Linked DNA regions of Danio rerio. The protein of the gene in region 1 binds, or shares a complex with, the protein of each later gene. Links are inferred from orthologs where the notes say so. Each region holds a gene or a part of one and is shown on either strand. Other genes may lie near its edges.

Region 1 (4,219 bases):
GAGAAGGAGTGCTGTTCTGCTAAAGAATTTGCCCTCTCCTGTGGTTTGTAATGTAATAGGCAGCACAAATTTATTGATAGCTCAGGCTGTTGATGTTGCCATCCACTCTGCAGATCTCTCGCATGCCCCCATACTGAATTTAACACCAAACCATGATTTTTCCTTCACCAAACTTGACTAATTTCTCTGAGAATCTGGTGTCTTCCAATAGGTCTCTCAGTATTTGTGATCACTGAGATGCAGATCAACAGATGATTCATCAGAAAAATCTACCTTCTGCCACTTTTTCAAAATGATCAACTAGAAATCAAGTTATTACTTGCTGCTCTTACAACTGAGATCAACAACAAGACTTTTGTCAGGTAATGTATATAAAACTATATGAAGAGACCACTTGGAAATTCTTAGTTTCTCTGGACGTTTTGGGTTTGTTTGTTATGTTTCAGTCAAATGTTAATATGTGTTTCATTTTTATAAAAGTCTGATAAGACTTTTTTCTGCTAATTTTATATGGGAGTATTTTAATGAAATATTGTCATTTAGAGCATTTCTTCTTAAGATAAAAATCAGGAATGTTCCACCAAATATTGATTTCTTGATTTTAAGTAAAAACATTGATGCTGTGTTGTCCAAAAAAATTCTGAAACATGGCATCCTTTTGTTATTTCAAGCAAAATAAATGCTCTAAATAGCAATGTTTTCATTTTAAATGGAATAAATGTCATCACTCGATTTAATCCTGTTTTACTGAAACACATAAGTAGAAATCATCAATACAGAGAATATCAGAATTTACAAGAGGTCACTTATTCTTTTCAGTTCTCTCTGTCTGTGTTTGTGTAGTATATTAATCCCTAAAGTGTAAAAATAATCTAAAAAGTGATTTTTCTTTTTTCAACAGCATATGCCTTTAAAATATTAGGAATGTATGCATTCACTTGTGTCTGAATAAAACTAAATAAAACTGAAGCATTTTTCTTAAATATATTTTAGTGTAAATATCCAGAAATGTCCTGAAATAATGTCCGAAAAGTTAAATTTAAGAGTTTTAAAGACATTTTGGTTAGTAAAAGGTCTTTAGCAAATATCTACAATGGGCTGAAACAGCACGTGCTTTTAACATTTTTATCAGTGTATGCAATTCACTTGTGTCTGAATAACACTAATAAACCTGAAGCAGTTTCTGAACCAGTTTTCAGTGTAAACATCCGAAAATGTCCAGAAATAATGTCCACAAGTTAAACTACGTTCCATTATTAATTAAATATTAGACTTATACAGGACTTTTTTTTTAAATATTCCAGTTAGAAAAGATTTTCACTTTGATTTTCACAAAAAATATAAAAATTTAAGACATTTAATAATACAATAATAAAATATTTTGTTAGAATTTCGCTTTATTAACTTCCAAATATATCTATTTACAAACCCTATAACCCTTATGAAGAATAGAAAAAAACATAGCTGTCAATTATTTCAGTCAACAATAATAATAATAATAATAAAATAAAATATATAGGTCAGGTCAGTATCCACAGCAGTAAATATCGTGTAAGCAAATGTTACTGTAAGGAAAGTAATTAAATGCTATTTTTAAATAAAAGCTTAAAAGTTTTATTGAGATGGATTGTCGTTGACTGTATTGGTGTTAATGGCCAGATTGGGTAGCTACACATGAACAAAGGAAAATTAAGACCTCTTAAAAAAACAACACAATATTTCAGTAGATTTAAGACTTTTTAAGACCCTACGGGTACCCTGATAAATATCCAGAAATAAAAAACTAATTAGATTCTTGCATAAATTCTTGCATTTGACTCCATTTTGCTGTTTAGTGTTACTGTTTTAAATAAACAACAACAGGCCGATGGTAAAGCCTGAACATCCTCGAAATTATTTTCTTCACCCGCTTAATAATATTTGTTTATTTCTTAGTTATTCAGATTTGTGGATGTGTGTATATACCATAATGACCTTGGAAAACTACAGTCATAGGACTCAGAAATGTGTTTAAAAGACGTAATAATAACGTCTCTGACACAAATTAGCGATGGCCATTATAGCTATAGGGCTCAGATTTGTTTAATAATAAATAACGTCAAAGACGATCATAGATACAAAAAAAGCTATTACTAAAGTGTTAATATTGTTAAATCGGCTATCATCTTAACTGTTCCTGACAAAAAATTTGCCTTCCTATAAGTAATTATAATACATAAAATATCTGGCTGTTATATTTAAACGATACAAATATTCCAAACATAACTTGGAAATGCATCCATAGCTTCACCATGGTAGTTCTGGTAAAGCTGGTTACACACACATATATATATATATATATATATATATATATATATATATATATATATATATATATATATATATATACACATACAGTATAACCAGCTTTACCAGAAATACTTATATATTTTAAACCATGCAAACATACGTTGAAAATGCATTTGGCATTTGATTCAATATCCATAGCTTCACCATGGTATTTCTGGTAAAGCTGGTTATATACTGTATATATTTAATGAATTCGCCACAAACCCATGGTTACTACCGTATTAATATTCATGTAATACTGTGGTATTTTTTTTTTGCTAGTGAAAGGTGTTTAGCAGATATACGATGGTCTTAAACATTATTTTTATTTTAAATGGATGCCCCTGAATTTCAACAGAATTGAGCCTTGAAATTCAACAGATTAATGCATGCTTTAATGGCTTTTGACTAAGATAAAATTACTCACCCGCACATGGATTATTATTGTTTTTATAAAGACGCTACGAGCGGCGCATTATGGACGCGGCCATTTTCCTCTTTGAAAAACTTTATTCAAACGTCAATGAATCAAATCTTTAGAAAAAAAGAGCACCACACGTGCGAAATCCCCAAGCGATTTATCATATTGTAAATGATACAGTACAATCTTCTGTAATGTTACCAACTATTAATTTAGCAAGATCGCATGTTTATTTGGGATCTGCATTTTTGACAACAGAAACACGTGCGACGCGTGACGTCAGACGCACGCGCGGTTACGAAAAAAGAGTTATGAAAGTAGTTTCCTGAGTCACAGTTGATGAATGTCATTATCGTTCTCATTTCGCTGACGTTGCGTAAGAAAACCACATCAAAGGCTGTGAGGGGACATTCACAGGTGAGCACAGTATTACATGTTTGCATGTTGAAGAGTGAGCGCGTTATTGGTTGTGTAATTTGCGCGTGCTTTAGTAAGCGCTGAGCGCGATGCAGATGCGCGTCTTCAATGTGTCGTCTTTGGTGATTTCACGAACACGGTCATTTATTTCCATGGACAACAGTCATACACGGGCAACACGGTGGCTCAGTGCTTTGCACTGTCGCCTCACACCAAGAAGGTAGCTGGTTCGACTGCATAATGGATAAACAAATATTTCTGTGTGGAGTTTGCATGTTCTCCCCGTGTTGGCGTGGGTTTCCCCCACAGTCCAAACACATGCGTGTAACTGTTATTGCTGAATTGAATAAGTTAAATTGGCCGTAGTGTATTTGTTTGAATGATTCTATGGGTGTTTCTCAGTACTGGGTTGCAGCTAGAAGACCATCTGCTGTGTAAAACATGCTGCATAAGTTAGCGGTTCATTCCGCTGTGGCGACTCCTGATGAATAAAGGGACTAAACCGAAGGAAAATGTATGAAACAGTCATGCATTGGCAGTATTGCAGTATTTAATAACTAAAATTTTAATAACCTGTTGTTCTATGTGCTGCTAGTTGCAAAACAAGCTAATATAGTTGAAAAGTATTTGTTTATCCATTATATATTTATTTATTTTGAGAAGTTTGTCACGTTTTTTGTTTTTAACGGAATGCCTTTAATAATAAATCAATCAATAAATAAATATACAATCAGAGGGCAAATTACTTAAAATTAAATAATGTGCTGCTATTTACAAAACATTACAAATATTTGTGTATTTATATTGTATTTACGTATTTGGAGTAGTTTGTGATGTTCTATTTTCAGCAGGATGCAGGTGTAAAAATCGATCTATTTAAACACACACACACACACACACACACACACACACACACACACACACACACACACACACAATAAATATATAAACAAATTGTTAAATGCATAATTAAATTATTATTATTTTTAAATGTATAAATAAATATTTATTGCCTCACAGCAAGAAGGTCAGTGGTTCAAGTGCCAGCTGGGC
Region 2 (3,238 bases), on another chromosome or scaffold:
ACTTTTATTTTGGAGTATGCTAGACTTTCTATCAAGTCCAGCTTCACATCGCTTAGGGTAGTTGTGCTCAAATTTAGATTTTAAAATTAATTTATCGGTATTTTTTTTTAACAAATTACTTTAAACATTGATGTTACCAGCGTGCGAATTATACATTGACGAACGAATGGGTCAACTTTTTTGATAGTAGTTTGGTAATACATTCTTCAGTGAATCAAATGTATTAATGTACTAAAATTACACCTCATTTATTATTAAAATGTATACGCTTTCAGTGTATTGATATTTAGTGATTTTTTAGAAGTTGCTGAAGGTCAAAATACAACTATTTTACAAGAAGTGTTTTGTGAAAACTTGAGATGTCTATCGGTGCCAGTTTCAGACTGTTGTTGAATGATATTTTTTCTTAGTATTGATTGGGGCGATTATATTTTCACACATGGTATGAACCATTATAAGGGTATATTTATTATGTTATAAATTTTTTATTTTCAATATTTAATTAAAGAGCTATTAAAGAGCTGACCCCCCCTATTCATCTTGTTTTAATGTCCTTCAGGGGGGACAAAGAAGTGTTAATGAGGGGTCAATCCCCCCACCCTCCAACCCCCCTGTAATTCGCACCCTTGATGTTACCCACGACACTTTTATGGTACTGAAACAATCAATTGTTTTTTAATGCTAAAATTTTTGCCAAAATTAGAAATAACGTGTCGAATAATAATATATAAATGCTTATTAATTGTTTTTATTTTCACTTTAATTAAATATTAATGACACCGAATAATTAATAACAAGGAAAATGTCATGCAAAATGAGAAATAAAATGCTTACTTTTTCACATCAAAGGAACAAATCAGTAAATAATAATAATAAAAAATAAATAAAATTACGGGATATATGTATATATAAATATATAAGGGATATATAAATTACAAAAAATTGCATAAGAAAAATTATTTCAGAATTGCACACATTCTTATAGCTTTTTTATTTGTTATGTCTTGTAGGGTTTCAATATGCATAAGATAAGTTTTAAACAAATAAATATTAGGCTTATCATTGGATCAGTTTTGTTTGTGTACATGGTACTTCCCATATATTATCATTAAATTAATAAACAAATTTTGCTCCAAGGTTTAGTTGTTATTATTGAATATCAAAAAATATTTTTACAAGAAAACTGAATTTTTAATTTAGTAAGTTTAAATATAAAATGTTCAACATCAAACCAAAATATTTGGGTATATGTGCATTCAACAAACAGGTGTTTTATCGATTCCTTCTCTAATTCACAAAAAGTGCACGTAGATTCCATGTCTCTAAAATATTTTTAACAACTTGTTTCAAAAACGATTTTGACAAGCGTTGATTTAAGGACTTTTATTTTGAAACGATACATAATATAACTCATGTCCAGCTTCACAGAAGAAGTGCGCGATGCACTGAACTTGTATGGACATGGTGAGTTCATTCAAAACTGAAATAATATTTAATAATAATGCGCGTTATTTAATTATGCTTATGTATTTTCTATGATTATCGCATATAAGAAGCTGGAACGCATAATCTGAGCCAACACAACAACTGCCTTTGTCAAGCACTGTTTTTATCAACATAATAAACAAGGTCAAATAGTCAATAGTCATGATGGTTACATTATCAAAATATTTTGTGTTGTTTTAATAATTAACATTAATAATAACTACTGTTGTGATGCTTACTGTCTCCTCAGATGATGATGTCAACAAGATTAATCCACCTTTCCCGTCATTTCCCTCAATATGGCTTTCGATGCCATCCTTCAGGACTTATTTCAAGTGCTCGCATGCAATACAACATCAACAACGGCCTGGCACACATGGGTAAACAGATGCCCAACACATCCACACACACCACGCGGATTCACCCGGCCTCATTCTCCTCTGACCTTGCCTCAAGAAAATACAGTCTAATCTATGCATTTCCACTAATCAGGGGCCTGCGGGCTCTTTCAAGACTCAAACTCTTACAGACGGGCATCACTGTTGTCCTGCTGCCCACTGTGTATTACCTCCACCTGCAGGGCCAGGCATCAGTGTTGGTCTTAAATCGCTCAATAGGCATTGCCTTGTTTGCTGGAGTCATGCTGTACTCCATAAGCCACTTTGTCAGAAGAGTGGTTGGCATGATGTATTTGGATTCAACACAGACCATATTAAAGGTGTCACATCTTAGCTTTTGGGGTCACAGAAGAGACATTTATGTACCCGTCTCAGATGTTGTGACTCTGGGAGATTCAGGAGACTCCAGGGGAGAATCAATTCTTCGGTTAAAGCGCTACAGCACTTCTAATACCATGTACTTTTCTACCAGACTGGGACGAGTGGTGGATAGACACGCATTTGGGAAGGTTTTTGGGAGTTTGTCATGAATTTGTGTAGTTTTGTATGTCATGTCATATGAAACTTTCCCAAAGTGAGAAATTAAAGATCTTATGGTAAAGTTAAGTATATGTAGCTTTTGTTTTGTGCATTTTATTAATAATTAGTGATGTAACAGATCACAAATCTTACGGTTTGGATCATATAATGTTTTTTTTAGTCACAGATCGGACTAGCCAAAAAGGGGAGGAGACAAATGTCATTTCTTTTCCATTTTATTACAAAAACTGCACTGCAAGAAACATTTGGTTTCAAAAAAACAAAAGTAAGAACCCTTATATTTATAAAAAAAAAAAATGAAGAAATAATTAGCTAAATATAAATAAATGGTAAAATATTCAGTACTGTGGAAAGATTCACAATTTCTGCTACTGTTGCTGATGACACTAAATGTAGAAATCTAACATTATAATTTGTACAACCCATATTTATTTTTAGTCTCGTTTTCAATAAATGCTTGTTATTTACTCATAAAACTTCATGTTTCATTGCTAGATGGATCATTTTTTATTATTATTCAGTGGCATATTTTTGATGGCTGGTTGAATTCAACCTATTGGTTAAATAATGTAATTACTGCTTACAACCTTTATTTTTGAGCGTCAAGTTAAATGTATATGACGTTAATTTTAATTTTTACCATAAACATCAGTGGTTTATTCTAAACTATAAACTGTTATCCCAGTACTTCTGTGTTATTTGATTGATTGTAACTCCATAACTAACTCAAAAGACCAAAGACTCAATCTCTTTCTTGATTTTTGTGTTGTCAGATTTGAATGCAGCAATTGGTAAGATAGATAAACATATGCAAA

Evidence for each region. Proteins that work in one complex are often made in the same cells at the same time.
Region 2: coa1 (region 1) and tmem186 share a complex: the UniProt entries of both Homo sapiens proteins name them as parts of the mitochondrial complex. The link is inferred for Danio rerio from reciprocal best matches to the Homo sapiens genes COA1 and TMEM186.

What each region holds. Positions count from the first base shown.
Region 1 is NC_133177.1:53,227,587-53,231,805, reverse strand, and holds the start of coa1 (cytochrome c oxidase assembly factor 1 homolog), read right to left. Parts: upstream 2,830-4,219; 5' UTR 2,756-2,829; intron 1-2,755. UniProt on the Homo sapiens protein: Component of the MITRAC (mitochondrial translation regulation assembly intermediate of cytochrome c oxidase complex) complex, that regulates cytochrome c oxidase assembly.
Region 2 is NC_133197.1:27,568,058-27,571,295, forward strand, and holds tmem186 (transmembrane protein 186), read left to right. Parts: upstream 1-1,432; 5' UTR 1,433-1,455; coding exon 1,456-1,464; intron 1,465-1,553; exon of another isoform or gene 1,554-1,629; intron 1,630-1,735; coding exon 1,736-2,413; 3' UTR 2,414-2,618; downstream 2,619-3,238. UniProt on the Homo sapiens protein: As part of the MCIA complex, required for efficient assembly of the mitochondrial complex I.